Astyanax mexicanus: one gene and its partners. Each later gene encodes a partner of the first gene's protein in a complex. Links are inferred from orthologs where the notes say so. Each region holds a gene or a part of one and is shown in the gene's direction. Other genes may lie near its edges.

Region 1 (7,360 bases):
CAGAGAATTACAGGACAGCAAAATACATTTCCATGACTTTGGGAACACCCCAGGTACTGTAGGTCCAAAACATGGGATGCCTATCCCTATACACACGCCCAACACAATCCCACTGATTCTGCGGTGAATGTGCAGGTAATATATAATTCACAAAGGCTTTTAATGACATTGTGACCATTTATCTGGGCAAACTCTGAGTTTTGTCAGCTTGCAACAATATATATATAGTACCAGTCAAAAGTTTAATGAACAGGTATGAAATTATGTAGTAAACAGTAAAAACTCAGGTGTTGGTTTGGTGGGCATTGAGCTAGAGCTTCACAGCAGGAAGTAAAAGCAGCAACTATAGTTCAGCACCTCCAGGAACTCCTTTAAGATGCTGAGAACTATTCCAGGTGACTCTACCTCATGAAGACACTGAGATTAAAATACCAAGATAGATAATAAAATACCAAGATAATGGAATACAAAAAGTGTGCAGATCTGTCCTTAAATAAATGTTACTGAGAAGAATCTAAAGTATAAAACATATTCTGTATTGATTAGAACTTTTTGTTCGGCATGAGCTCCTGTATAGTTTTAATGTCGATTTTAAATTTACAATGTAAAAAATCATAAAAAGAAGAAATAAACGCATTGAGTGAGAAAAGGCGTGTCCAAACTTTTGACTGGTACTGTAAATATTTGTGTTATTTATTTAGTCATTTATGTGTTTAAGAGTATTTTACAAGGCCTAAGTACGTCGGATTTTTTTTTTATTTCAGAATATGCTTAAGGATGTTGATTACAACACATTTCTATGGTTTTTGGGCGTAATAGTGAATACATGTTCTATATTTGCCAGTGCTGAATTGATGTTTGTGGGCTGTTTAGGGGGAGGAGTCAACAAAGATGTTCTTTTAACTCGTTTAATTTTCGATTTGCAAAGCTCTTTGGGAAGAAAAACTTACAGAACTGGCTCAATCTTTTCTCATATCATGCATTAGTTTGTTTGTTATTCGGTAAGTTTGATGTTTTTTGGGAAACGCACCCTATAGATGCTTGGGGCGGGAACAAGAAAAGTAAATACAGGGAGTTCACAGTAAAAACTGATTGAAAAGCACTTTGAAAGATGATTTTTATTTTTATTTGATTAGATAATTGATTGATGGGTAATGAACAAATTGGAAGATTTTGATATATTAATCATAGCCACATTTTATTATTTAACATTGAATTGTGTTAATATAAGGCATTTTTGTTACTCGTCTTTAAAGGTACAGTAAATTTTTTATACAGATAAGTTTTTTTTTATTCACTCTGTGACTGCTACAGAAGGAAAGACTTTGCCCTCACAACATTCCAATATTAAAGATTCAGACATTTATATTGTTAGGTACACTACCGTTCAAAAGTTTGGGGTCACTCAAACAATTTTGTGTTTTCCATGAAAAGTCACACTTATTCACCACCATACGTTGTGAAATGAATAGAAAATAGAGTCAAGACATTGACAAGGTTAGAAATAATGATTTGTATTTGAAATAACATTGTTTTTACATCAAACTTTGCTTTCATCAAAGAATCCTCCATTTGCAGCAATTACAGCACTGCACACCTTTGGCATTCTAGCTGTTGATTTGTTGAGGTAAGCTGGAGAAATTGCACCCCACGCTTCTAGAAGCAGCTCCCACAAGTTGGATTGGTTGGATGGGCACTTCTGGCGTACCATACGGTCAAGCTGCTCCCACAACAGCTCAATGGGGTTCAGATCTGGTGACTGCGCTGGCCACTCCATTACCAATAGAATACCAGTTGCCTGCTTCTGCTGTAAATAGTTCTTGCACAATTTGGAGGTGTGTTTAGGGTCATTGTCCTGTTGTAGGACGAAATTGGCTCCGATCAGGTGCTGTCCACTGGGTATGGCATGGCATTGCAAAATGGAGTGATAGCCTTCCTTATTCAGAATCCCTTTTACCCTGTACAAATCTCCCACCTTACCAGCACCAAAGCAACCCCAGACCATCACATTACCTCCACCATGCTTAACAGATGGCGTCAGGCATTCTTCCAGCATCTTTTCATTTGTTCTGCGTCTCACAAACGTTCTTCTTTGTGATCCAAACACCTCAAACTTGGATTCATCCTACCACAACACTTTTTTCCAGTCTTCCTCTGTCCAATGTCTGTGTTCTTTTGCCCATCTTAATCTTTTTCTTTTATTAGCCAGTCTCAGATATGGCTTTTTCTTTGCCACTCTGCCCTGAAGCCCAAAATCCTGCAGCCGCCTCTTCACTGTAGATGTTGACACTGGTGTTTTGCGGGTACTATTTAATGAAGATGCCAGTTGGGGACCTGTGAAGCGTCTGTTTCTCAAACTAGAGACTCTAATGTACTTATCTTCTTGCTTAGTTGTGCAACGCGGCCTCCCACTTCTTTTTCTACTCTGGTTAGAGCCTGTTTGTGCTGTCCTCTGAAGGGAGTAGTACACACCGTTGTAGGAAATCTTCAATTTCTTAGCAATTTCTCGCATGGAATAGCCTTCATTTCTAAGAACAAGAATAGACTGTCGAGTTTCAGATGAAAGTTCTCTTTTTCTGGCCATTTTGAGCGTTTAATTAACCCCACAAATGTGATGCTCCAGAAACTCAATCTGCTCAAAGGAAGGTCAGTTTTGTAGCTTCTGTAATGAGCTAGACTGTTTTCAGGTGTGTGAACATGATTGCACAAGGGTTTTCTAATCATCAATTAGCCTTCTGAGCCAATGAGCAAACACATTGTACCATTAGAACACTGGAGTGATAGTTGCTGGAAATGGGCCTCTATACACCTATGTAGATATTGCACCAAAACCAGACATTTGCAGCTAGAATAGTCATTTACCACATTAGCAATGTACAGAGTGTATTTGTTTAAAGTTAGGACTAGTTTAAAGTTATCTTCATTGAAAAGTACAGTGCTTTTCCTTCAAAAATAAGGACGTTTCAATGTGACCCCAAACTTTTGAACGGTAGTGTATATAATTCATTTTCTTATTACAAAAACTACTTATTGCACCTTTAAAGCTCCACTAGGTAGGATGGAGATTTTGTGCTCGTGGGCTCCCCCTACAGTTGTAGAGTGTAATAAATGTTTCAGGTGATTAGTTTCTCTTTCTTGTTTTCACAGACATATTCGGTCTCTTTCCAGCTTGTGCCAGAGTGTGTGTATGTTAGTTTGTAAAGAATTAACCACTAGTCCTTGTAGAACTGTTAGAATTAAAGTTCAGAAAGCAGGTCGCAGTTCTCGGAAAACTTACAGAGTCTGGTTTAAGCTCAGAGGATCCCGGCACAGACACGCACCTCAATGCAGCACTGCAGTGAGTTTCAAGCTGTAATTTTACTTCTTTAAAAAGATGAAAAATCAAGGAAATCCTACCTAGTGCTGCTTTAAGTCACTGTTGCAATCCATTAAAATTAGATTTTATAAAAGCTACTGTTTATGAAACAAATCAGTTCATATACAAATCTATTATTAATTCAAAAGCATTTTTATCAACCCTTTTTTTTACGCTCTGGTGCATAGCGGTCACTACAGTGGAAAGCTGTTTAAATGATATTTTCTCCTAAACGCAGTGATTTCTATGGTGGAATTGCATATCAGCCCTTAGAATGTTCTCTACTGCCCCCTTCCATTGAGGTTCATTCACTGGTTAATTGTTGTAACTACAAGTGAGCATCACTGGAATCCAAGATGGGTGGCAGACAGACATTGTTGACCATTACTGAAATATCCTGTCAATCCTTATATTATAGAAGAACCCTATTTGGTTACCATTCAATAAATTTTGGGTATATCTATAAATTATTATTATTTTTTTTTTTTGCAGATAAGTTGTACTTTGTGTTGATCTTTTTTTGAAAAATATCTTTTTGTCATTTTTGGTTGCAATTCCATTCATTTTAGGCTTGCCACCTTTTCTAGCACACAATGTAATATGTGCTCATGGATGTATAATAAAACTCAGATCGATTCATTCTTCCATTAAGTTTAAACTGTTAATGTTGGGTGCTTAATCGCATGTATTCCACTGTGGTGGTCTGTACATTCCTGAAAAAAAAAAAAAAAAAAAACATTTTTGAGGAAAAAAGACAAAAAAAGAATATTGACTCTACTGATTGACAAGAAAGGCCCTTTGGCTATCTTCATTCTGTCACTGAAAGGAGAATGCTGTGATTGGTTGAATCCATCTCTAGTCCAGCCCTATTTGTGATTAAACAACAAATCCCGAGCGGCTTCCTGTGCGCTGGTCGGTTTTACCGGCTTCTGAATGGCTGATTAATCTGTCACTCATTGCCAAGCCTCAGCCTATTGGTGGACTGGGTCCTGCTAGGTAAAAACCCCGCCCAGTATTCCTCTGCAGCCTTGCGAACAGAACATCTTCAGAGGAGAGAGAACACAGTAAAAGTAAGAGCTGTCTGTCTGTTTTAACCGGTTTAACAGCTGCGGTTTTATCGTGCTTCTGCTTCAGGTTTAATTTAACTGTTACTGAGCTTTAAATTATCTCCGTAAACGGCTTACAGCACAGCTAAGACTAAGACTAAGACTGAGACTGAGACTGACTGGGCTCCAGGCTAACTGTAGCACATTAGGCTAGTCCAGAGTTAGCAGGTTTTCCCGGCTGTGGGAGTTTAAACAGGTCAGGAAAGTGACCGGTAACCGCTTTAACCAGAGCTCAGATATACCCGCTCCCTCTCAGCCGCTGCCGCTTTACACAGTTCAGCCCTTTTTAAGGTTATCTTCAGGCCACAGCATTTAATTTTACATGGCAAGTTTGAGGCTAGCTGGCAGGCTAACTGCTATACCCATAACAATGTGTGCGTGACCCGTGTTACAGCAGAACGCTGCACTGTGTGTATGGTATGGCTATGACAACATTTCTATTTAACACACGTTTAGTTAAGCTACGTTAGCTTAACTACTTAACTCTAGCTGCATTAGTTATGGCTAAAATACGTTTGGGCAAACCACAAAGGTTACAGCATGTGAAGACTTAAAAGTGTCTATCTGTTTAATAAATCGTTCCCTCAATTTAACAGGTTCGTTTTTCTCAAGTTTTAATATTGTCCTTTTCATATACTAAACTGTTTTCTTAATTTAATAAATTGTTCTGTCAGTATAACAAATCCTTCCCTTGATTCATCAATCTGTTTCTCTCAGTTCTAATAAATTGTTTTCTCAGCTAAAATATGTTCCATTAATTCAGTAGGTTAAATAATTCCTTTGATTACAAAATCTCTTCCCTCAGCTGAACTGAAAATCCAGTTCATTCCTCATTATTTTAAAGAAAAGTGGCGGTACAGTGCTTATTTACTATTCGTTTCTATGCATTAGGTATGGCTAAAAAAGCATTATGACAAAACACATAGGTTACATTATAAAGGTACTTACAGTGCTTTCTTTGTTTAATTAATTCTTTCCTAAATTAAGCCATCTGTTTTTCTTATCAATTTAATAAACAATTCTTTCAATTTAGTAAGTTGTTCCTTTAATGTAAAGAATTTCCTAAATTTGATCATTTATTCCCTTAATGTAAAGAAAATAAGAATTCCCTCGATTTAACTATATTTTCCCTCAATTAGATAAACTATTCCCTCAATGTAATAAAGAATGACCTTGATTTAACAATCTGTTCCCTTAATTTAATAAAATGTACCCTAAGCTTAATAATTTGCTCTGTCAATTTAGTAAACGTTTACTCTATTAGCAAAACAAAATCTGCCCCCTTAATTTAATAAGTTCTTCAAGTGTCCCCTCAGAGTCACTGATTTATAAAATTACGTTATTAAATTAAATTCCAGACCAATATATTTAAAGGTATGTTGATCGTTTCATTGCTTTAAAGGTGATATGCATTGGTTTTTCTGAATATTTGAATATGTGTAACGTGTAGATTTCACTGCATTAATTCTCTACCACATACATGGGATCTTGGATCTGCAAATAAGACGAGTATCTTTGGTCAGCAATTTTTCTTTGAGATTTTCATTTAAAGTTATTATAGGCCGAACTATAATTTTGGTGAACGATAAATGGCTGATGGAAAGAACACCTAACCCAAGTTGTTCATACATGCATAACAAACAAAATGTTTCTTCTTGTCTTCCCGTTTTTGCAGAGACCGCAGGTAGCGGTACTTCTGCTGCCAGCATGTCGGGCACAGCTACAGTGCTGCAGCAGTTCGTGAGTGGCCTCAAGAGTCGGAATGAGGACACAAGGGCCAAAGCTGCTAAAGACCTCCAGCATTATGTCACTACAGAGCTGAGAGAAGTATGGAACAGTATAAATGCAACTGTTGCTTAAAAGTCTGTTGTTGCGAATAATGAAAGCAAAATGGGGGTAAAATATGAGGCGATGTGTAATGTTTTGGCTACACTAGCATATTTGTTTTGTAGAATTCTGTTGAAATTGGTCTAAGCTATCGTATACTAACCCTCGTCACCTCTGTGTTCTTTACATTAAAGTTAAGCCAAGATGAAGCCACCACTTTCTATGATGAGCTGAATCACCACATATTTGAGCTGGTCTCCAGCTCTGATGTAAATGAGAAAAAGGGCGGTATTCTTGCTATTGGTGAGTATGACTTCATTCTTTTGACAATCCATTGCACTTAGTACAGTGTTATGCACAGTTTATGGACACTCATCTCATACAGGAATATTATTGCTATGTTGGTCAGTCAGTTATTTACTTTAACTGTTATTTTCTCATGCAGATTGAGTGTACAACATATATGTATTGTACATTTCACATTTGGTGACAACAGAAGCTTTCAGAATTACAAATACAGGGTAGAGAAAGACCGATAAATCTGTTTGGGGACGATTTCATTTATCGATTGTCTTTCAGCTCAATATCAATCTTTAGCTGGGCCAAATGCCACATTAATACCGCTGAGAAGCCAGGCAAACTTGGTACAGATTCCCCTGATTATGGCCACCTCTAAGCAAACATTGGAAATACAACCTGACTGTAAATAAATGGATTTATATGTGCATAAAATAGTTTTAGTTTTATATTTGTTTTTGTTTACTTAGACACCAATTCTGCAGGAATGGGTATCCTAACATGCCTGTTTTCTGGCGTTATCTTACTTCTTAAAATAACCTACATTTACTGTAAAAAAATATAACTAAAAATCTGAATATGATTGTTTTAGCTTTTTGACTCCTGCAGCTGCTGTACTTCTGCAGCGTTTGGTGGTGTGTGTGGTTAGCTAGTTAGCTCTGCTACTCACTGATTTGGCTGTAATATTACTGTGGAGAGCGGTATTATCCGGTTAGTGGAGTTAACATCTTTATTCTGTTCCACCACGAGGCACGTTAGTCCTACACATATAAAC
Region 2 (7,604 bases), on another chromosome or scaffold:
CTGCTCTAGATTCAGTACTTCACGTAATTACTTTGCGTTTGCAGGCACACAGTTTCTTTCATTCAAAATCAACTTCCAAAGCAAAGCAAAAATAAACGATTTCCCCAGCCTGGGCATACACAAGCTAAGTTTTCAGAGGCAAATCCCTGAACATATTACCATATTACAAGTGTTTGCACAAATTTCAAGCCATATGCATGCTAGTAAATCACTTCTAAACAACTTGTGTAAACACCAGAAATCGCCCATAGAAAATTACACTCTGCTCCCTTCAGGTTTGTTTGTAATAGCTTGGTTTAGTCCAAATTTATTATAGACCTGCTGTTCACCTCTAGACCCTGGGGTGTTCGTATTTCTACCTCTTAGTGAACCACATGGTGGTAATTAATTGAGATAATGAATTTTTAATGCTAATTTTCCAACCTCACTTTCTGAAGACTTAAGGAGGGGCTGGCACACAGCAATGCACTCAGCTTCAGAAGCTCAACACTGGCAAGTTGATCGAGTTAGAGTCACGAGGTCAAGGTCAGATGTCGCTGAATCCACACATTGCGTTGTTTTTCTGCAGAACCACTGGAGTATGACAAAATTTGTTCCAAATCTCTTCCAAGGTTCACTGAAGACAGTGACCTGTGTTCCGATAAACTGAACTGGGAAGAAATGCATTTGTTGGAAGATCTGACACGGAACACCAGAAAGCTGCTCCCTGTTCTTTTTCTAGAAGTGTCATCATAAACACTGATGAGTGATTCAGTTTAATGTTCACTCAAGAAAATGAAGATTAGCTCCTCTCACTCTTCAGATGGTGATTCCACAGTAAAAACATTTTTATGAGCTAAAACTTCATGTGTATCTACTGCCCCCAAGTGTTGTGGCCTTGCAACATCATCACAAAACAAGTGGGCTGTACCTTTTTTTCATTTACAATAATCAGAGCAGAGGTGTGACTAGAGACATATTGTGACTGGCATAAGTGTTTGGAGAATTCAAGGCCAGAAGGCCAGATTAAAGTTTTTGAAGATTTTTTTTTTTAAGTTTAAAGACCATCTGAATGGATTATGGTTTAAATATTTCTGATATATAATCTTGAATTGATATTTTTATCTCAAATGTTTTAATATAGTATAAAAACTAAAAAACTAAATAATTTGCCCCACCACATCAGTATGTATATACAATATCAGCCAAGGTGACATTTTGTAAAGGCAGAATTAGGAACAGATTACCTTTAGAATTCAAATTGCCCACTGTAAAATGATTCATCTTTAAAATAAATAAAAAGACATTAAGGTGAAACAATTAAACCACAATGCAATTTTAACACATTTCACTGCATTTCAGTTGCTTACAGCAAACAAAAGGTATGATCATGTACTGCTAGCTTTAATGAGGATCCCCTGGTGAAATTAGTAAAAAAGTGTTCCACTTTTGTAACTTGATGAGGCAGCAGTCCTGCTGGGGGGATTGAATTAAGTAAACCATTACAGAAAGGAAGTGTAAGGGAGTGTAAATTAGGCTTAAGTAAAAATCACAAGGGCAGAGATTTCTCCTATGTGTTTTATTCAAATGTATCCATGAAAATGTCACTTTTTTAGGTATTAAAGCTACGTCACTTGATATATTTTGGAGCAATATATTTAAAATTGAGCCAAACTACACTGAATCTCAAATCACATTTTTATTTTCTTTCCCATCTTTAATGAACCCCTTCCAAAACAACCTCTGCTGATAAAGTACACTTTACAAAACTCTCGCTCGAGATTTCACTGATTAATCACACTCTGGTCCAGTCTGAAGTAACTAGATAGTCAGACAAAAGCTGTATTTTAATGGTGGGCTGCATTGCAAGATCACTACATAATAAAAGGTTGTTGCAAACTGAATTAACCCTTGTACAGCAGGAAATGCATCCTGTGCGATATTTGAAAGACAAGAATTAATATATTTGAGTTAATACATTAGTTTTGGCTCCTTTAAGGTTTTACTTCACTCTGCATCCAGCCTAGTTATGTCATGAGAAAACAGCAGTGTGTAGGTGCATGCAGGCAATTAGCAGTTAGCTTTTATTCAAGGTGATATCACAACTTTTTGAAGTGTATGTCATGATAACTCATATTATAACAATTTTCACAAAACATTAATTCAGCTCAAAGCCCTACAATGTATTCTTCACAGCCAATGTGAAAGGAAATTAAAACATCACAATGAAAAATGGTGGAAAACAAAGTCTCCAAAGAAGATACCATTTTAAAAGTTTTTAATACTATTTATAGTATCAAAATGATATCTGTAAAGAAATGAAAAATAGATGAGTTTCACAAGATGCCTCAGTGTCATTATGTGATGTTTACAGGTAACACTGCCACAAAGCCTCCTTACACTGTAATGTGTTTGAACAAGAGGCTACTGAGAAGAAGTCTTTATAGGCTAGTCATACTAAGGACCTGTGGTACCTCAAGCACAACCTAGGTATGCATACTATAGATCAGTGTTGGTGGACAGGTACCCAACAGCAAACCAATAATGGACCACTGGTGAAATGAACAATGCACTTCTATGCATTGTGTCAGAGAATAGAGAAAACAGCTACAGTTTGGTCTGAAACTAAACCTAATTAGCTTATTACACTTATCAGACAAGTATTAGCATTGCCTGCTAAGCGCTAGCTTTTTGGCCGTTCAGAGGTGAGTAGATCAGAGTGAAGTCTACTGCTAATTAAAATGACAGTTTTGTTTAATTAAGCCTATCATATTGCTCCCCAGCGGAGAGACCTGCTGAATTAAAAGGAAACATGGCAACACTCCTGTTTTAACAAGTGCTGCTTAAAATGCACCCTATAATCCAGTGTTATGTGTCTCCTGCATTCATTTGGAGCACTAGTTGTGCATTTCCTTCTGAAATTAAGGCTAAATATAGTTGCTGTTTGGCCATACGTTTGCATAGATCACCAGGTGTATTGTGAATTAAGCTGTTTACATGGATATGTGCACTAAGACCTCTACATCTACCCATGGCAGAAAATGTCCAAAAAACGAAAAAAGGATGGAGTTGGTGGGTGTTCTGTCCAGCATTCATCAGACGTCTGAGCTGCCCTCTAGTGGAAGCCTCTGGTAACATGTGTAGCACACAGCCAATAACATTAGGAATGCTCTTGGTCATCTACGCAATCACGTCGCCAAACAGCAAGTATTTCTCATACATAGAGTTACCGTATATATGTCAGCCAAGTGTTTGATAAGTAGTTCTGCTAAAAATCATTTATACTTGTATATATTTCATGTGACCTGCAATCAATTAAATTACCGTATTTTTCGCACTGTAAGGCGCAATTAAAATCCTTTACTTTTCCCGAAAATCGTCAGTGCATCTTTTAATTCAGTGCACCTTATGTATGAATTTTACCAGTCAAGTTTACCACTACTCCACTGAAGTACAGCGTTATACAGGAGTCTCAGTTTAGTTCTCTAGCACCAGGACTGGAGCAGTATTATCATTAGCCGCTAATTGCTATGTCCCAGTTTAGAGGTTGGTATTATCTGTCTGTAGCCTGCTCCTAATCCCGACTAGCACTGCTGGAGCAGCATTAGCATTACTGGCTAGCCTTGCTAAGAGCTAGCACTTTAGCCGTTCAAAGGTGGGTATTATCAACCTGTAGCCTGTTTCTAACCCCAGGTAGCACTGCTGGAGCAGCATTAGCCGCTAACCATGCTGCCTCTTTTACTGTTTAGAGGGGAGTATATCAGACTCAATGGCTTACTGGAGCACTCGAGGTTCCTCAGTGTAGTGCTGTCGGGCGGCATTGGCCGCTAATTGCTAGTGGTTAGACGCTAATGTCAATGCTCCAGCCTTAGTGCTTGAGAAATTCAGAAATCTAAGCTTACTGTAAGTTACATTACATTACATTACATTTGGCAGACACTTTTGTCCAAAGTGACTTACAATAGTCAAGTACAAAAGTAATAGAAGTTAAAGATAAAACATTTTTAGATAGGGCTTAAAGGAGGTCGAAGGGAAATAATGGGATAGAGAAGTGAAGGAGGGGAGAAAGAAAATGAGGTTAGAAGTAGTTAGAGGTGTTAGGAGAGTAAGTGCTCTTTGAAGAGCTCTGTCTTCAGGAGTTTTTTTAAAGATAGCGAGAGATTCTCCTGATCTGGTAGTGGAAGGTATTTTGTTCCAAACTAAATAAACAGAAGCGCTTTACTCACCCAAATAAACAGAGACATCTGTGTAGATTAACATCCAGCACTATATAACACTAGCCAGTGTTTGAAGTGATGCGCAGCAGGTGAGAGTGGCCATTGTTCTGACGGGTTGGGCAACCTTGTCAAACCGTGCTACCCTAGTGTATATTTAAAAGTAAAAATACAAAAAGGACCATATTAGAAAATGCTCCCGGAATAGGAAGTGTTGGATGTTGGGATAGGCTAAATTACTGTATCAGGTAAATTTATGGTTATATAACTGTAGGTTTTTTTATAGTTTATTATTATTATTATTATTATTTTTAATTGCCATTTACAGTTTGTAACATTCAAGCAGGTGGTTTGATGCCCCCAAGGAAAACGGATTTATCATAAAAAACATGAAAACATAAAAAATGTGGGTTGGCGCATGCGCAGTGCTGTTGAGAAGCACATATCGATGGGTAGCATAACTCGACAGAACACCGGTCCTGAGGCGCGGAGGGTCATAAAGCGCTCTGATTGGCTGATACGGCCCCACGCGGGGAGTGAGAGGTCGCGAAGTTTGGGGAAAATGGCTGCTGAACCCACACGAGAGTGGAGCGATGAGACACTGAAAGGAGAAGATGTTCCTAAAAAAGATCTGATCAAGTTCATCCAGGACAACGCCTGTCACTCGGTACGCAGCTCTTAGACCCAGACCCGGAAACTCGACTCAGGACCTTAAACTGTGAAGCAGCTCCACCGCAGCCGGATAGCATTAGCTGCTGCTGCATGCTGTCTAATGAGCTACCAGCAGCCCCAGCAGATCCACACTGCTGACTTCATAGCTGACTGAGGAGAGCCCCCTACTGCATTATCCTACTGTAAAAACAATATTACAATCCTGTACTGCTTCAGCATGATATTTCCCCCGAAATAAGAGTTTGTATGGCTAATATTTTTAATGCAGTGTGCAGGTTCTAATGCAGTGGGGAGGTACTAATGCAGTATGCAGGTTTCAATGCAGTTCACAGGTTGCAATGCAGTGGGGAGGTTCTAATGCAGTATGCAGGTTTTAATGCAGTGTGCGGGTTTTAATGCAGTGTGCAGGTTTTAATGCAGTGTGCTGGTTTTAATGCAGCATGTTTCTTTGTGTTTTCAGTTTCTTGCCGAGCACAAGCTTATGGGAAATATTAAGAATGTTGCAAAGACTGCAAAGAAGGAACAGCTCATTGTAGCTTACAACCAGCTCTTCGAAAGTAAGGTAAGCATAATCTACACTTAAAGAGACCAGCTAAGCCATTATTGCTGTGGGCAGTCTGCTGAAATGTGATGAAAGTACATTGAATTTAGCCAGGCAGAACTGTACAAAACCCTTAACACAGCTGTAGAAACGGTTCATTGTATGTTAGAGATGTATTGATCCTTTTAAATGGTCAGTATATATTTCTTGTATATTTATTTACAGACAATCTAAAACCTAAAGCTGCTTATTTAAGTACCATTTTTTTTTTAATTTCTAGATGCAGGGGCAGTTTTATCTAAATTGTCTGCCGAATATTTTTTTAATTGCGAGTTGCATAGAACTGTGAAACCCACAAACACTACAGAGTGGACACTGCAGAATTAAAACATCAAGCAAACAATGAAAAGTACAATTTTATTCTGGATTCCTAATCAGGTAGGGATTATTAAACTTTTTCTTTCCTGTTTTCAGCTTGGTTGTGGCATTTATCTTTTAAAATGTAATTAAGAACTGTATAATGTTTTACTGGCTAAAGATGACCACGCCATCTATTTCTGTTGTCAATTGCAGAGGTTTAAAGGCACAGAAGTGGAGCAAGTGACTGAGGACGTGAAAGCTGTAAAAATTGATGATGCGCCCAAAGAATCAAAGACAGAAGTTGTGGATGAGGTATTGTGCTTGAGCACAAAACATACTGAAATTGTTAAAACACAGATTAACAGAATACTATTAACTGTTACAAAAGGTTAATTGTAATGTAATCATGAACATATTTATTCCTATTATAAGTAGTTGTTTTTTTGCTGAACAGGGTCCCCCCAAGTTCACAAAGGCAGTGCTAAAGAAAGGAGACAAGACCAACTTCCCTAAAAAGGGTGATACAGTAGCATGTTGGTACACTGGCACACTTGAGGATGGCACCGTCTTCGACACCAACATCCCTACAAGTATGCCTTCACAATTTTCCGCAGACATGTATACGTATTATATGCCCAGTCTTAAATTATAAAATTGGGCACCCTGGGTAAAATACATGCATTGTTGACAAGTATAAATAAGTTTCAGCTTAAACACAAACACATTTTCACTGTCTAAAGCATAATTACTGTGTAGTAGCTTGATTTATTATTAAATGTGACATACAGATATTTTTTCAGTTATTGTAAATTCAGAAAATAAATAATTTCCTTGGGAGCATGACAGTGGAAGATTAATAATGGGTCACTATCATCTTTGCAGCTGCAAGAAAGAAGAAACAGTCCAAACCACTGTCTTTTAAAGTCGGGTTGGGCAAAGTTATCAGAGGGGTAAGTTTTTAGTCATTGTGGAAAACGTTTCAATATGTGGATGCTTATCTGATCCATTATACTGATGATATTCTCCAAATCACTTGCAGTGGGATGAAGGTCTCCTGACCATGAGTAAAGGTGAGACTGCACAGTTGGAAATCGAGTCAGAGTGGGCGTACGGTAAAAAAGGGCTTCCTGATTCCAAGTATCCTTTTCTAGATTTTCCATATCTTGAAGAATTACTGTGTATTTAGTGATTTAAAAACATTGCTGTAGTAATCTGCTTTGAATTGCATTTAGAAGGTTCTTCCTAGTGGTGCAGCCATCTAGCTGTCCTGCAATGAATTTTCTGAAACAATCGTTGCAAATAATGAACCAGCTACTTTAATTTTACAAATTAACCAAAGGAATGTCTGTCTTCATCTCTCCCCTTGAAACAGTATGACCTATCAAACCTCACTGATTCAACGCAGTTAAAACTGCAGTAAATCTAAATGTTTAAAGTGTTAAAAATAATATTACACCGGTTCAAATACTTTTTTTTTTTTTTCACTTTGTAAGTTTTCCCCAGTTTTATCATGTGAAACCAAAAATTATAACAATTATTAGTTGTTATACATAATGACTAATATATATATTTTTTTAATCTGCAAACGCAGCTTAAATTAATAAAAAAAAATGAGGACAACCTTTTATCCTATCAGGGCAATTTATTTAATGTGGTCCCATTTAGTCACTTTTTTTATATTTTCTCGGCCCATATTTATTTACTTAATACATCTACGTAATTAATAATGGTGTTTGTGTGCTTTTAGAGTTGCTATATATATATATATATATATATATATATATATATATATATATATATATATATATATATATATATATATATATATATACACATAT
Region 3 (7,741 bases), on another chromosome or scaffold:
CATCATCAATGCTGATTTATTTTAAAAGTATAGGCACCTCCTGCATAGATGACAGTTTTGCACATCTTGGGTGGATTTTCTCAGTCAGTTTTATGAGGTAGAGTCACCTGAAATTCAGGCTTTCAGTTAACAGCTGTGCTGAACCTTTCAGGAGTTAATTATTAGAATTTCTTGTCCTCTTAAAGTGTTTGAGAGCATCAGTTGTAAAGTTGTGAAGAGGTAGAGTTGGTATGCAGTATTTGATTAATGTTTTAATCCATATTATATCAAGAAAAAACTAAAGTATCCTCTAGTGCAGTCACAAAGATCATCAAAAATGTTATGATGAAACTGGCTCTAATCAGGACTGCCACAGGAAAGGAAGAGCAAGAGTTATCTCTGTGGCACAGGATAAGTTCATCAGAGTTACCAGCCTTAGCAACCACAAGTTAACAGCACCCCAGATAAGAACTGTAAATGTGAACCTCCTGGCTTAACAATGCCTAATCCCATGATTGAGTACGTGGTTAGAAGGGTATAAAGCCCTCAAGCATTGAATGATGGTGCTCCATCCAAAACATCTGGGATAATTTTGGGGAGTTGAAGATGAGTTGGAATCAGGTTGAGATCATCCAAGGTACTGACCTCACTAAAGCTCTAGTCACTGAATTCAACAAAATCATCACAGCAATATTAAAAAATATATATATAATAGAAATCCTTCCCTGGACAGTAGAGAGTAGAGGCAATCCAACAAAAGCATGAAAAAACTCTTTTTATAAACTTACGATTTCAGAACAAACAATCAATTAGCAAGTGCCAAATTTCATAGGACTAGTTCTGTACCTCTTTACTTTAGCCATGTCCTATGGAAGCTAAAGAACACTGCACTGACCTGAAGCATATACAGCTCTGGAAAACATAGAGAGACTGCTTCAGTTTCGGAATCAGTTTCTCTGATTTTGCTACTTATAATTATATGTTTGAGTAAAATGAACATTGTTGTTTTATTCTATAAACTACGAACAACATTTCTCCCAAATTCCAAGTAAAAATATTGTAATTTGGAGCATGTATATGCAGAAAATTTGAAATGGCTGAAATAACAAAAAAGATGCAGTGCTTTCAGACCTAAATTCAAAATAATGCAAAGAAAATAAGTTCATATTCATAAAGTTCTAAGATTTCAGAAATCAATAATTGGTGGAATAACCCTGGATTTTAATCACAGTTTTAATGCATCTTGGCATTTTCTCCTCCACCAGTTTTACACACTGCTTTTGGATAATTTTATGCCACTTCTGTTGCAAAAATTCAAGCAGTTCACATTGGTTTATATTTTGATTATATTCCTGAGGTTTTTAAATGTGGTAAAATAGAAGAAACTCATCATTTTTAAGTGGGCTCTTATTTTTTACCATTCTAGCCAGACTTCGCTGGTCCCTTGTTACACATGTGACCATATACCATATTTGCAATATAAAATATTGCACTACTGTTATATACTATTTATACTGTCATTCCATCTCAATCACCACCAATATTGCACTATTGTCTTCCGTCTTCCGTATGTTTATTGTGTCTTGTTGTATTGTACATATAATGTCTCTTTTATATTATATATCTATTTCTTTTTTTTACTTATATTTATATATCTATTTCTCCCCCACACCACTGCACCTTGTTTTTGTCTCATGTATGTATATTTGTGTCCCTGCTGTATTGTACCCATAGTGTCTCCCATTCTCTTTTATTATATCTATTATCTGTACTTGCTGTAAAATTGGGAAGGAGAGTAACATCATTTCAATTCTTTGTATGTAGTGTACATATGCAGTATTGACAATAAAACTACTTGACTTGACTTGACACTGATTTCTTGTTTAAAAAATCAAAAACAGCAAACAGGTTGCTATTTCATAATGGTGTTTAAAATGAATATTGAATAAACAATGTTACACTGACCTATCCATCCTCCCACAAGCACACTGGTCAGTGTTCAACCTCACTTACAAGATGAGACCTCACAACTTATACAAATATATATACATTATGCCCATCACATGATTTTTGGCATGCCAGTTTATACAGGACCCTGCTCTATTTCCGTTATACAGGAATACATCTAATAGTTTTATTTGTCTGAGTCGGAGTGAGATCAGTTGGAAATATCTGAGACAAGTTTGTGATCAAAGTGAAAAACAGGCTGTTTCTCAAGAGCCGACCAGAAAAAGAAATTGTCCCCCACTGATTTAAAACAGGAGTTAACAAAATCTGGGAGGAGTAAATCAGATTAAGAGGAGCTCCTCATTTGGAACCATTCTTTCCTCTGGGAATATTTACTGTGTTAAACGGTGTAAATGAGATCTGCAGAAGCCGGCTCAGATAAAGCTGAACTCAGCTGGAGTTCACAGTGGAGAGATCTAACAGCATTAAGATATCATAAATGTACTCACCACTGTGTCACACCAGTGTAGTGTTGAGAGTGTGTATAGAGTGATATTGTCCTCTGAGCAGCTCCTGAGCAGGGTAATATATTTTATACTCACTGCCAGGAAACATCTGATCAGTACAGGTCTGAGAAGATCACACAAGAAACAAACCTAAGGATGCAATTTATTGTAGTTCTACACTTGAATGATTGTACCTCCAATTCTATATTTTACAGGATTATTTTAGACATTTGACACAATACTTGGGTATTTGTTTTATTAGAAACATTTATTCAAATAAATATCCAAGAGAAAACAATACCTCATCCTAATTACTCTTTACACCTGAGAGACAAAATTAGATTTTCCTCTTTTTCTCGTGTTATTGAGTTAAGTTTCCAAGCATTTAATCATATTGTTTCTACTTAAAAAAACACAAAGAACATCAGATCATTGCAAAATGACATTGTTCATAAAAAAAGCTATTTATCCTGGTGTAATATTAATCTACAATTCATCAGTCACAAAATAAATAATAAATAAATGTCCACGATTTCTGACTTTCACTGAATGATAGTGTGGCTCCACAATATATTTTTTAATTGCAGAACGTATTGCTTCTGACTTTTCCACCCCTGCCACCAAACACAGCCCTCTCGAAACCTATTCCACCTGTTCCACCCTCACAATAACTGCCTTCACAAGTTTTTGATGAACTGAATGAGGACTGTTAGGTTTGGACTGGACATAAAGCATGGTGATGGTAGTTCCTCTGCGGGTGAATTGGTGATATAGAAAACTATGATGTAACACACAGTAGTGAGAAGCCCTCAAAAAGCACATATCTAATCAGAAATATGTCTAAAAGCCCACAGTTTATGATCAGACCAGAACATAGCAGACTTAGCTAAAGAAGTTTATTAAAATAGAGTTAAATAATTATTTTTCTGTGAATATATTTTATTTTTTTATGCATATAACACTATTCAGGCTTTTTGTTCGGATTAGAAATAACATATTTGATATATTAATACAGATCTGTCAAACAGTCAAACAGACAATCTGTAAAATAAACCTGACCCATCACAAATGTCACTTGTAATCCAGACACATGAGCCTGTGCAAGGCGCTGTAGTAGCTTAAAGCAACAGCACCCTCTGCTGTCCATTCAGCGGCTCTACAGATGAGGCGAGTTCAAAAGTAACCATGGGAAGTAAAAAAAAAAATTATATGCTTTCACATAATATCTTTCAATTCATGTAATATCTGTTTTTGAAGTCAATTGTAAGATTTGCCAGGACTAACCATGATTTTCAAACTCAGTTTTTGAGTTTTTAACATCCAAATAATAATTATGGAACATTACATGGAACATTATTCCTGCCTTGTATTTAGCCTGTTTTGTGGTCTAAACAGTTTATATGTGTATATTTTCTGTTATTATTTAAATATTAGGGAATAATAAAACAAAAATAGCTAAATAAATGCAATGACTTATTTCAGCCATCATAGGAAATCTTGACTGTGAAACAAAATTGTATGCACATATGCAAAACTATCAAAATAAAGTGAATAATTTAAGTTAATAAATGTAAAAATATGATTGTTTACTTCAAATGATTTAAATTATTTTAAAAGAGATTTAATTTAGGTTTTAATGGGGATTTAATGGGTGCCATTTGTTTAATAACTGTAGGTGGAGAACATGCAAGGATGCAAAAAACTGTGATTAAAAACCAGGGTTATTCTACCAAATATTGATTTCTGAATTTCTGAAAATTTTATGAATATGAACTTGTTTTCTTTGCATTATTTGAGGTCTGAAAGCTCTGCATCTTTTTTGTTATTACAGCCATTTCTAATTTTCTGCAAATGCTCTAAATGACAATATTTTTATTTGGAATTTGGGAGAAATGTTGTCTGTAGTTTATAGAATAAAGCAACAACGTTCATTTTACTCAAACATTTACCTATAAATAGCAAAATCAGAGAAACATATTCAGAAACTGACGTGGTCTCTTATTTTCCAAGAGCTGCATACATTTTAGACAGCTATCAGTGTTGAGAGAGTAGTGTTGAGTAGCTACCAGTTAAAACTTTGGACACTGAATATGTTTTTTTAATTTCTTTATTTCATGTATTTTCTACATTGTATATTAATATTAAAGAAATGAAAAAGGTGTTTGTCCTCCACAGTCTCTGGACCTAAACATAACTGAGATGGGTGATTTATGATGAGCTGGACATTGGAATGAGCATAAAATGAAAGAAAACATCAAATGAGAAGTGGAGCCCACGTGCAGCACTGTTACATCACTATCAGCAGCAGTGCAGTGCAGCAAGCTTACTGTACACTTCAGTAGTGTGTAGTGAAGTAGCTACAGTACAGTACAGTACAGTAGGGTGGGCTTTTCTCGTGCTCCCCAGAGGGCGTTCCTGCGCGTCTCGTTGATGCATTACACTTCCTGTACGAGGGTAAACTTGACGGAAATAGCTAGCCCCTACCATTAGCTGTGATAACAACAGAGGAAATGCTGTATTATTACTGAGAGTATATGATACACATGAGAGGCGATGGGACGAGGCGTTTAGCAGCTATGGCTGTACTCCTGCTGTTACAGAGTGTGGATATATTCAGCAGTCGGTCTGGGAATGCATGAAGGTAATCTACGTTAGCTAACATTGGTTTGTTTAGCTAGCTAACTGGCTAGCTAGCTAGGCTTGGTCAGTAGACAAGTAGCTAGCTAGATAGGCTTGCCAAATAGCGTTAGACCAAGCCCTGTTATCTAGAAGCTAGCTAGCAATCCTAGCTAGCTAGTGGCTGTGTTTTAAGCTGTAACTAGGCAGCCATAGCTAACATTTGTTTACCAAAAAATGTCAGCAATTTTAGTAGCTAGCTAGCTAGCTAGATTAGCTAATCTAGTGGCTTTGTGTGAGCGTGTTCCTCTTCTAAATATGGGTAAATAAGCTAACTAATCCAGGTCCACAGAGTAACGTTAAGTTAAGTTACATGGGTTACCTACGCTACAAAAACATCCCAGGACTTTGTTAATAGATACCCTTACCTACCTTTTGGTTAGTTAACTACAACTTACTGGGCGGTTCTGCTGGAGGCTTGGTGTAAATAACCTAGCTAGCTAGCAGCTGTTATTTAACGTGATTAGCAGGGTTAAGTTAGTTAACCCTAACCATGTAACTAATGTGTTGTGTAGCTAACATATATGTTTATCTGTAGTTATATGCAGTTAGCTAGCTAGTTAACCTTTACCCCAAAAGAAACTTAGCTGCCAAATCCATGTCAAAAGTAGCTAAAACTCCTGTAAGCTATAACAGCTAGGTTACCAGCTGCCTCAACTGTACACAGTCATCCAGGCAGTTGGTATCTAGCTAGCAATGCTGGGTCAGTACACAAGTTAATATAGCTACCGTTAGCTAGCTAGTTTGCTAAATAGCATAAGACCAAGCCCTGTTAACTTAAAACTAGCATTAGCTAACCTAGCTAGGTTAGCTAGTAGCTGTGTTTTAAGCCGTAACTAGGCAGCCATAGCTAACATTTGTTTACAAAAAAAGATGAACTAGCTAACTAGCTCATCTAGTGGCTTGGCTTGGTGTAGGCTTGATGTAGATAAAATAGCGTTGTTTGCTAGCAGTTGTTATTTAACGCTAGCGTGGGTTAACTTAGTTAACCCTATCTTTCTAACCAGTGTGTTGTTTAGCTGTATATCTAGTTATCTAGCTAGTTAACCTTAAGTTTTGAGTGAAGTAGCTAAAACTCCTTCCCAGGATTTTGTAAGCTAACTAGCTAGGTTACCAGCTGCCTCAACTATACACAGAGTTATTCAGGCAGTTAGTAGTTAGTTAAGTTAGATAGTTAGTTATCTAGGTACAAAACCCTTTGTTTGCTTTCTACTTCCTCGGCCTGGTCTTCTAAACACCCCGATAAGCTAGCTAACTAACTCTAGCTAACCACCCAGCGCTAGCACAGTCTCACATCTTGCTATTTGTCCCAAAGCTAGCTAACTTACCCGCATTAGCTCGCTACATTTGTTTGTGTGCATGTTGGACCTGTAGGTTAAAAAAGTTGAGGGGACGTTCAGCTGGGAAACTGGACAAACGTGTAGATCAAACGTTAACACACACCAACTGATGAGTTCAGTTAGCTACATTCAGTTTCACATTCAGCTGTTTGCCTAGTAGCTAGTTAGCAAAGCTAGCTAGCCAGCCTGCTGTTTTAGCTTTCTAATCTTAGCAGTATTAGGAACAAGGCTAAAAAAACTGTTAATAAAGACAATAACGTTAAATGTAATAAAAATACAAAATAAAGATAGCCAGCTAACCACTGGGCTCTTAGTTAAAGCAAGCCTGTGAACTTGCATATGTATTTTAAGCTAACAGCTGCTAGCTAGGCTAGCTAACGCTTGTTGTCATGTTGTCTCTGGGCGTGAGCTGTTGTAAGAGTGCATCATCTGTTGTGTGCACATTTTCCAAGTTTTAGTTAAACAAGTTTTAATAATTAATTAATATTTGTTTGCTTTCAAAACTGAATTATTGGGTTATGAATGTTTATAATAATTATATTAATATATATTGACTCCAAAATATGCTCTTATTCTGGCTTGCTAGTTCTGGATGATATTTTGCCTCAGAAATTTGGGCTGTGTCTATCAGTTTTTAAGTTATGCTTGAAGTGTGCATTTGTTTTTTGGCAGTGATGTAAAAGTACTGTAATGCTGCTTTATTTTTTGTAGTTCAACAAGTGCCAGTTACCTGCATTGTATTCTATTCTATTTTGAGTGCTTTGCATTGTTTATAACAAACTATGGTTGTGATTCAGTGCTAGAAGTGTTGGATTTCTGTTTTTAGCATCTGAAAACCAGAAGTTGACTTGACCTTTAAGGTTATCTGATCTGACCTTTCACAACCTTTGTAAAAAGTGTGGAGTAATACAATGGAATGTTCATAAGCCTTAGCTCCCCAAATCGCTTGGCTAAAGTTTTTCTAAAGTATTATAATGACAACTCTTGTGTCATGTATTCTTGAAGAAGAACAAACTTGGCATCACTTGAGCATTAAGATAATGATCCTTTGACATTTTGAACACAGATCATAATAGAATATGACAAGCTTCTTTGTTAATAATGCACATTTAATAATGGCTAGGGGTAAGTGTCTACCAATAGGTATGATGCCCATCTTCATACTTTTTTTTTTCTTTTTTTTTTTATAAAGCAGCTAGTGTCGGATGACCCGAACTAAAATTGGGCATTTATAATAAGTATGAACATTTCATAAAATTAAATGTTGAATATTTTTCTTTTTCGCAGGCAGGC
Region 4 (7,064 bases), on another chromosome or scaffold:
TTGCACATTATGGGTCTATATTTATATGTTTTATAAAGCTGTTTTTTATATTCCAGATGTTGGATCTGAACGATTCACTTTCAGCTTTACTATTAAAGACTCCCTAGACCATTGCATTAATGTGTCTTCATGGGGCAAAGAGGATTATGTTCAAGGACTTTGCAGCCGGATCAGAATTGGAGATTGTGGTGAGACACAGCTTGAAATTATTTTAATTGTTCAGTTTTATATTACTGCATATTGCAAGACAGCATGTAACTAAAACTCAGCTTTTATTATTTTTCTTCTTTTGTTCAGTTGTCATTGAGAATCCACTTGTTGTTAACAAAGATCCTGAGAGAGAAGACCGATTCTGTCCTTCAACCTCAAGGTAAAATAATTGGACTATGTATTGGACAGAACATAGCTCATGATACAAGCATGACAATATAATTAGATATTTAAAAATCAAATTATAGGAAAAATGTCACAGTATAATAAACACCATTATTTGTATACCTCTTGAGTTTTTTTTTACTTGAACCAGCATAAAATACACATTTACACACTGCCATAATTCCAGTGTCTCTGCTGTGCTGAGAATGAGTTCATGACCAATGAATAAACAGGATAATAAAGTATGCAGATAATCAGAAAGACTACAACCTGTAATTATAGAACTACAAATTGCTCCCATATGTATAGTGGAGCTGAAAGATTAGCCAGTAGGGGTTCAGATTAGACAGAGAGTATAGAAACAAGGAGGTGGCATAATATATATATTTTTAAAACTATATCATGAATAGTTAATAGTGTATACTCATACATTATTTTCATTATGGTTTATACCTGACACAGAGTGTCACACTGGTGAAAACAGTTTGTAAAGAAACATGCAACAAAAATACCAATATACTTCGTTAAAATATTCAAAACAAATTCATTTGTCCACAGTTTTTACAGATTGCTGGTGACAGAAACTCATTCAGCCATAAGGATGTGTTCAGATTTAGAAACAGAGACCAGGCTCCTGTCTCTTTTCCACATACCAATAAAGGATTCAAGAGACTTCTATTCACTGGGAGACATTACTGCAAATGGGCAAAGCCTCAATGGAAGTTTCATTAACATTCTTGCTGCTGTGCGATCGGTAGGAAACTAACTAACTGTATGGAAATCACTAACTGATAAAACCATATGTTTTGTGTATCAAGCTTTTAATTTCTTTTGTTAAGGTCGGAGAGCAGAAGTTCTTTACTACTTCAGCAGGAAGAAATGGTCAGAGGCTAGAGATAAAGCTGTTTGATGAAACTTTGGCTTCCTTCCCTCTTGTATGGTATTGAATGTCTCTTGTATATCCAGAATATTTTTTTATTTCCTATTTTCATCCTCTTCATACTAATGCCCTATTTCTTAGCTGGGATCGAGAGACAATTCAGCTTCTACAGGCACTAACACCACGAGAGACAGGTAGGGTCATTCGCAGCAGTAAAATCAACATTTTACTGCAGCATTTTTTTGTGACAAGATTAAGAGATGTGTATTTTTACAATTAGTGCTGTTCATCGCGGATGCTCGCACCAGCTTTGATGGATTTCGTAACAGCATGTTGGCAACAGCCACCTCAAAAACAATCATTACCATTAATCCTGGTAAGAATGTGATTGTACCCCAAACTTCTCCAATCAAACTTTCATTCTTAACCAGTGGATGTTCTCGTCTCTGTGAGATTTAATCTTAGTTAATTGTTCTTTTCCATGTATAGATACAACTGAAGCCAACCAGCTGTTTAATTACGCAAGGGAAATATCTGACAGTGGACGACTAGATGAGCAAGAGAGTGATAATGTCCCTTGTATGTATTCATTGCTTTATATCATGTGTCTTGTCTTCCATCTCAAGTTTCTAATTCCAACAGTTAGTTTTCAATATTTACAGCCTTGGCTGGATGAGATTGTCAGCAGGACCTTTCTGTTGATTGCATGGATTAGCTGGGTTTTAGTGGAATTTAAACTGCACTTACTGCTGAAATATTACACTTACTGTACAAACTGTAAACTCAATAAAGGCAGTCTAAGACAAATCTCCAAATTTGAATATATACATCTATTTTATTTCCTAGTGGAATCCATTAATGAGGTGATGACAGTGAAACAAATCAAAGCCAAAATCCAAGACAGCTCAGATGTCTTCCATGGTGTGATCTATGCATTCTTTACAACTCTAGGATTAGATTCCTCCATGTCCAAACTTATTTGCAGCAGGTGGTAAGTATAAAATGCAGATAGCCCAACACAGTCCTGTTCTCTGACACCACATGTTATGTTCACAACATGAATGAACCACTGATCTATTTGTCTTTATGTTTTAGCACCAAATGCAGGTTCCAAGTCAGTGAGGAAATTGGGGCCTGCAGTAACATGGCATGTCCTAGTCAAGGACAACCACTGGAAGCCTCTCTAGACTTCAGCCTGCTGGTTAATATCAGTGATCACACTGGAACACTGAAGGGCTGTTCTCTGACAGGCACAGCTGCTGAGAAAACACTGGGTTGCACAGTAAGTAAAAACAAGCAAATTAAAAATTAAAATCCATTAAAAACGTTTGAGATGAGTTGTAGATGTGCTGGTGTTTTCTCCCTGAATGCAGTCAGATCCTCAAAGCAATTCTTCAAAATGTAGTAGAAAGATTCCTGCACAATTTAGGCAGTTAGGCCAACAAAAGCAGGACAAACCTGGTTTTGGAAAAAACATTGAATGAGCAGCATTCGTAAGGTCAGGATATTGGATGATTACCACCCCACCCTTTAAAAAAATAATTTAATGTTAATTAATTGAGTACAAATGAGTATCTTTATTTAATAAAGGTTATTCCTGCTGTATGAAAAAGAAAGTAAGTTTATGTGAAGTTTATGTGATTTTAAGTGCATGCCAGATAGCAAAAGGTGTCCCAGGTGTTAAGAAAAAACACTGAAATCTTTTTTTATATATAATATGAAAACAGATCATTTCTAAAAGCAAACTTTATTATACTTTTAGTCGGAGGAGTTTATGTGCTTCCCAGAGCCTCATCGAATGACCATGAAGTGGAGATTTCTGCTGGAGAGATGCAAAATTTATCTGAAGGTATAAGATACTATTTAAAAATGTACAGTAAATATTTTGTCATAAGTAGTACCTGTAATTTGATGTACTATATTTATATTTACTCTAGTTAAAATAGTGATATACAATTTGTATTATTGAACCATAAACAAGTTGGATAGTGAATGTTGTGTTATTGTAACTAGAATATCGATCTAGATAGAAATTGAGAAGTTGAGTGAATGTATTATATATTTTTATTAGGTTTTATCGAAGAAAACTGGCACAAGGGCACATATCCTTTCTTGTACACTTGCTGATCCAGTGGAAGTAAAGCAAAGCATGTCAGCCCTGACCATCTGAGTGTGTAACCTGACTGATGGGGAGCAAGGAAAATTAAAACAACAGTTGCAATGTTTTGAGTGAGGGTTCAGATTAAATGCATATTTTGCGTGAAATGAGGAAAGTGTTCAACAAGTGGTGAAATATTTATCATAATTTAGATAATTTATGGATATAGTTTGTGTTATATATTTGTGTATTTATGAAATGTGTTTATTTCACAGTTATACATTTATATATAATTTTACATATTTTCACAGTTATTACATTAATTACATAATTTCACAGTTATTACATTTATATGGATTAATGTAATATTTAGTGTGTAAGTAAAAGGGAGGGATATTTCTCGTATTTAATTTGCTTTTTTGTAAAAAAAAAATACTGTTTTATATTTGTGTTCTCTGTAGAAAAAAAAAAATCACAATGTTATGTTATTATTGTTGGGTTTAATGCTAATAAATATCACATGCTCATGCTCTGTGATTCATATGACACCCTTACTACCACCATCACTGTATTTAGTTAACGAAACCATACTATTTTTTTTTTACTAATAATTGGTAGCTATTTTAAAACTCTATACAGACCCAATAATTTATCTGTAAACGCAGCTGTTGTTGCCCTTGCTCTACTCGGAACTATTGAACGCTCTCAGTGTTTCAGTGGGGATGTTTTTTAGCGGGGAGTCCTTTGGTTGCCCATGTAAATAATGTGGATTTAGCGACTGGATTTTTATTATTATCAGTAATTTATTGAACTCGGAGTGGTCGTGATCTGCTGACAGGTAAGACTGAGTTTTATTCATTAATCTCCTTTAACCCTAAAGTAGATATTTATCTGTCTGTGGTTCATTTACTGCGACCTTCATGCTAACTTTAGCTTCATGCTTCAACCGTTACTCCAGCTAGTGTCTAAATCCTAGCGAAATTCCCACTAAAGCAGAACACATTACGTATATTTGCTTAATTCTCCAGTGTCAGAATCTCTACAGTAAAGGTGTTGTGTTTTTGTAGTGGTGGTGTGTTTTTTTCTGCGGTACGGACACTGACAGAGCTGGCACTGGATGGTGTTTAATATTATCAGTGGTCCGCAGGTCAGGACTGGGTCCACACTGTTCTCTCTGCAGGTCTGATCATGAATGTGAACCAGGGCACGGTCGGCAGTGACCCGGTGATCCTCGCCACCGCTGGATATGATCACACAGTCCGGTTCTGGCAGGCCCACAGCGGCATCTGCACCAGAACCGTCCAGCACCAGGACTCTGTATCCTTTCAGTCTGACAACAACATACTGTATATTAAAACTGTCACCAAATTTATGATTGTGTTTATATGTGAACACGTGTATAATTTGTGTAATAAGCCTGAAATATATATATATATATATATATATATATATATATATATATATATATATATATATATATATATATATATATATATTTTTTTTTTTTTTTTTATTGTAGATTAATATTAAAGACATGAAAACAATTAGGGACACATATGGAATTATGTAGTAAACAAAAACCTGGTGACTCCTTCAAGACGCTGAGAAAATACCAAGAGTGTGCAAATCTGTCATCAAAGCTAAATGTGGCTACTTAGTAAAATCTAAAGAAAATAACATTCACTTTTTGCTCACAGAATAATTAATATTTTCCTGTATAGCTTTAATGTCTTAAAATTTACGATAAAAAAGTCATAAAAAGTAAGAAAACACATGGAATGAGAAGATCAACTGTTCTTGAACTTATACTTAAAATTAAATAATATTGGGCTGATATATTCTGTCTCTGGTTGTGACTATTGTACATGCTTACATTGTGTAGGCAATGCTGAAATGATATATTGTAAAGCCCTGCTTTTAGGCATTTTAAAAACTCTTATCACAGGAAAAACTAATTATCCCTGCAATCAAAGTGTTTTTGGCTTAGACATTTTTGAACTGATGTTAACAAACTTAAATAAAGTAGCAAAAAAATCATTTAAGTCACCTGCAGGATTTAAACTTGCCCAAAACCAAACTAACTTAGTTGACAACCACACATCAATATGGATAGTGTCACTTGTGGTAGCTATTCCAAATAATCAATTCTTGATACTATGTTTTTTTTTTAATATGTCATGATGCTGGGAAAAAATATATATATGTGTATATATATATGTATATATATATTATTTAGTTCATATTTACTTTGACTCCAACATCAGCAGGTAAACTCACTAGAGGTAACGCCAGATAGGAGCATGATTGCAGCAGCTGGTGAGTCATAAATACATACATTTTCAGATTACATCTAATTAACAAATTAGATTGAATAGACGTTTTCATTGTGAGTTTTCTCCCTTCAGGTTATCAGCACATACGCATGTATGACCTAAATTCCAACAATCCGAACCCAGTAATTAATTACGATGGTGTTAGCAAAAATATTACGTCAGTCGGCTTCCATGAGGACGGGAGATGGATGTACACTGGAGGAGAGGACTGCATGGCACGTATTTGGGATCTCAGGTGATACAGAGCTGCTACTGGTTTACACATGAGACATTAAATATAAGTCTTTAATATAACCTGACACTCACTATTTTCACTTAGGTCAAGAAATCTGCAGTGTCAAAGGATCTTCCAGGTCAATGCACCTATTAACTGTGTGTGCCTGCATCCTAACCAAGTAAGAATTATTTAAGTACACTTTGTGTAAATGAAATAACTGAATCTGGTGGTACATTTGCTGGCTTGTGATGGCTTTATCCTCTAGAGGGAGGTAAAGATTTGTTCATTTTTTTATTTGTGTGCATTTTAAATCATTTTTAAAGGCTGAATTGTTTGTTGGGGACCAAAGCGGTGTGATCCACATCTGGGATCTTAAAACAGACCACAATGAGCAGCTCATCCCAGAGCCTGAGGTGTCTGTAAACTCTGTGCACATTGATCCTGATGCTAGCTACATGGCTGCTGTCAACAGTTCGGTCAGTATTTGTTTCGTACTCTATTCTCAGCCACACATTCTGATAATTCTTATTTAACACATCTAGTGGTTTTGGTATTAAAAGCCAAAGTTTATGTTGTTGCCTCCCACAGGGCAACTGTTATGTGTGGAACTTGGCAGGAGGAATTGGTGATGAAGTGACACAGCTTATTCCCAAGACTAAAATCCCTGCTCACAAGCGTTATTCCTTGCGCTGTAAATTTAGTCCAGACTCCACGTAAGAACAGCCCCAATAATAGTATAATAATGTTTTAGCAATACAAATACATGTAGGCCAGTTAATTTGATAAAACTAATTCTAATTCTGTTATAGATTGCTGGCTACATGCTCTGCTGATCAGACTTGTAAGATCTGGAGGACCTCCAACTTCTCACTGATGACAGAGCTGAGCATCAAGAGCAACAACCCTGGAGAGACGTCTCGCGGATGGATGTGGGACTGTGCTTTTTCTGGAGACTCACAGTACATTGTCACTGGTGAGTGAATGGAATACACCAAATAGGTTTTGGTAACAAATAGGACTTGTTGGGTCTGAAAAAACATGCATGTTGGGCTGGGCAATGACTCAAACTTAATGAACAGAACCTCTAACCTTGCCTAGATTAATTATTTTAAGTTTTTAAAATTCTGTTAACATGATGGACGTATTTAAATCCTGGTCGTG

What was found.
Region 2: the proteins of mtor (region 1) and fkbp3 are in contact, whole or in part, in a crystal structure (PDB 5GPG), measured with the Homo sapiens proteins. The link is inferred for Astyanax mexicanus from reciprocal best matches to the Homo sapiens genes MTOR and FKBP3. Residues at the interface, in NP_001373429.1 of Homo sapiens: Glu2032, Tyr2038, Phe2039, Gly2040, Arg2042, Tyr2088, Val2094, Leu2097, Tyr2105, His2106, Arg2109; in NP_002004.1 of Homo sapiens: Lys160, Pro161, Leu162, Ser163, Lys170, Tyr198, Lys201, Gly202, Gln203, Pro204, Asp205, Ala206.
Region 3: mtor (region 1) and mapkap1 share a complex: the UniProt entries of both Homo sapiens proteins name them as parts of the mechanistic target of rapamycin complex. The link is inferred for Astyanax mexicanus from reciprocal best matches to the Homo sapiens genes MTOR and MAPKAP1.
Region 4: the proteins of mtor (region 1) and mlst8 are in contact, whole or in part, in a crystal structure (PDB 4JSV), measured with the Homo sapiens proteins. The link is inferred for Astyanax mexicanus from reciprocal best matches to the Homo sapiens genes MTOR and MLST8. Residues at the interface, in NP_001373429.1 of Homo sapiens: Leu2269, Arg2270, Met2271, Ala2272, Pro2273, Asp2274, His2277, Leu2278, Thr2279, Leu2280, Met2281, Gln2282, Val2284, Glu2285, Val2286, Glu2288, His2289, Asn2292, Asn2293, Glu2536; in NP_001186102.1 of Homo sapiens: Tyr20, His22, Asp42, Ser43, Gln44, Val45, Asn46, Tyr62, Asn87, Glu105, Gln148, Thr174, Arg221, Tyr222, Leu224, Ser268, Arg270, Gly271, Trp272, Trp274, Ser290, Lys313, Val316.

The regions. Positions count from the first base shown.
Region 1 is NC_064419.1:17,748,939-17,756,298, forward strand, and holds the start of mtor (serine/threonine-protein kinase mTOR), read left to right. Parts: upstream 1-4,360; 5' UTR 4,361-4,425; intron 4,426-6,136; 5' UTR 6,137-6,168; coding exon 6,169-6,288; intron 6,289-6,482; coding exon 6,483-6,591; intron 6,592-7,360. UniProt on the Homo sapiens protein: Serine/threonine protein kinase which is a central regulator of cellular metabolism, growth and survival in response to hormones, growth factors, nutrients, energy and stress signals.
Region 2 is NC_064408.1:73,543,654-73,551,257, reverse strand, and holds the start of fkbp3 (peptidyl-prolyl cis-trans isomerase FKBP3), read left to right. Parts: upstream 1-4,596; 5' UTR 4,597-4,611; coding exon 4,612-4,860; intron 4,861-5,325; coding exon 5,326-5,427; intron 5,428-5,979; coding exon 5,980-6,078; intron 6,079-6,220; coding exon 6,221-6,356; intron 6,357-6,648; coding exon 6,649-6,716; intron 6,717-6,805; coding exon 6,806-6,903; intron 6,904-7,604. UniProt on the Homo sapiens protein: FK506- and rapamycin-binding proteins (FKBPs) constitute a family of receptors for the two immunosuppressants which inhibit T-cell proliferation by arresting two distinct cytoplasmic signal transmission pathways. PPIases accelerate the folding of proteins.
Region 3 is NC_064408.1:21,740,495-21,748,235, reverse strand, and holds the start of mapkap1 (target of rapamycin complex 2 subunit MAPKAP1), read left to right. Parts: upstream 1-4,740; 5' UTR 4,741-5,073; intron 5,074-7,735; 5' UTR 7,736-7,741. UniProt on the Homo sapiens protein: Component of the mechanistic target of rapamycin complex 2 (mTORC2), which transduces signals from growth factors to pathways involved in proliferation, cytoskeletal organization, lipogenesis and anabolic output.
Region 4 is NC_064422.1:24,571,833-24,578,896, reverse strand, and holds the start of mlst8 (target of rapamycin complex subunit lst8), read left to right. Parts: upstream 1-4,050; 5' UTR 4,051-4,191; intron 4,192-4,490; exon of another isoform or gene 4,491-4,533; 5' UTR 4,534-4,541; coding exon 4,542-4,670; intron 4,671-5,617; coding exon 5,618-5,669; intron 5,670-5,758; coding exon 5,759-5,921; intron 5,922-6,005; coding exon 6,006-6,081; intron 6,082-6,226; coding exon 6,227-6,379; intron 6,380-6,491; coding exon 6,492-6,616; intron 6,617-6,712; coding exon 6,713-6,876; intron 6,877-7,064. Other genes in the region: meiob (meiosis-specific with OB domain-containing protein), read left to right, coding at 57-188, 298-370, 934-1,129, 1,215-1,315, 1,397-1,449, 1,536-1,631, 1,745-1,834, 2,102-2,246 and 3 more.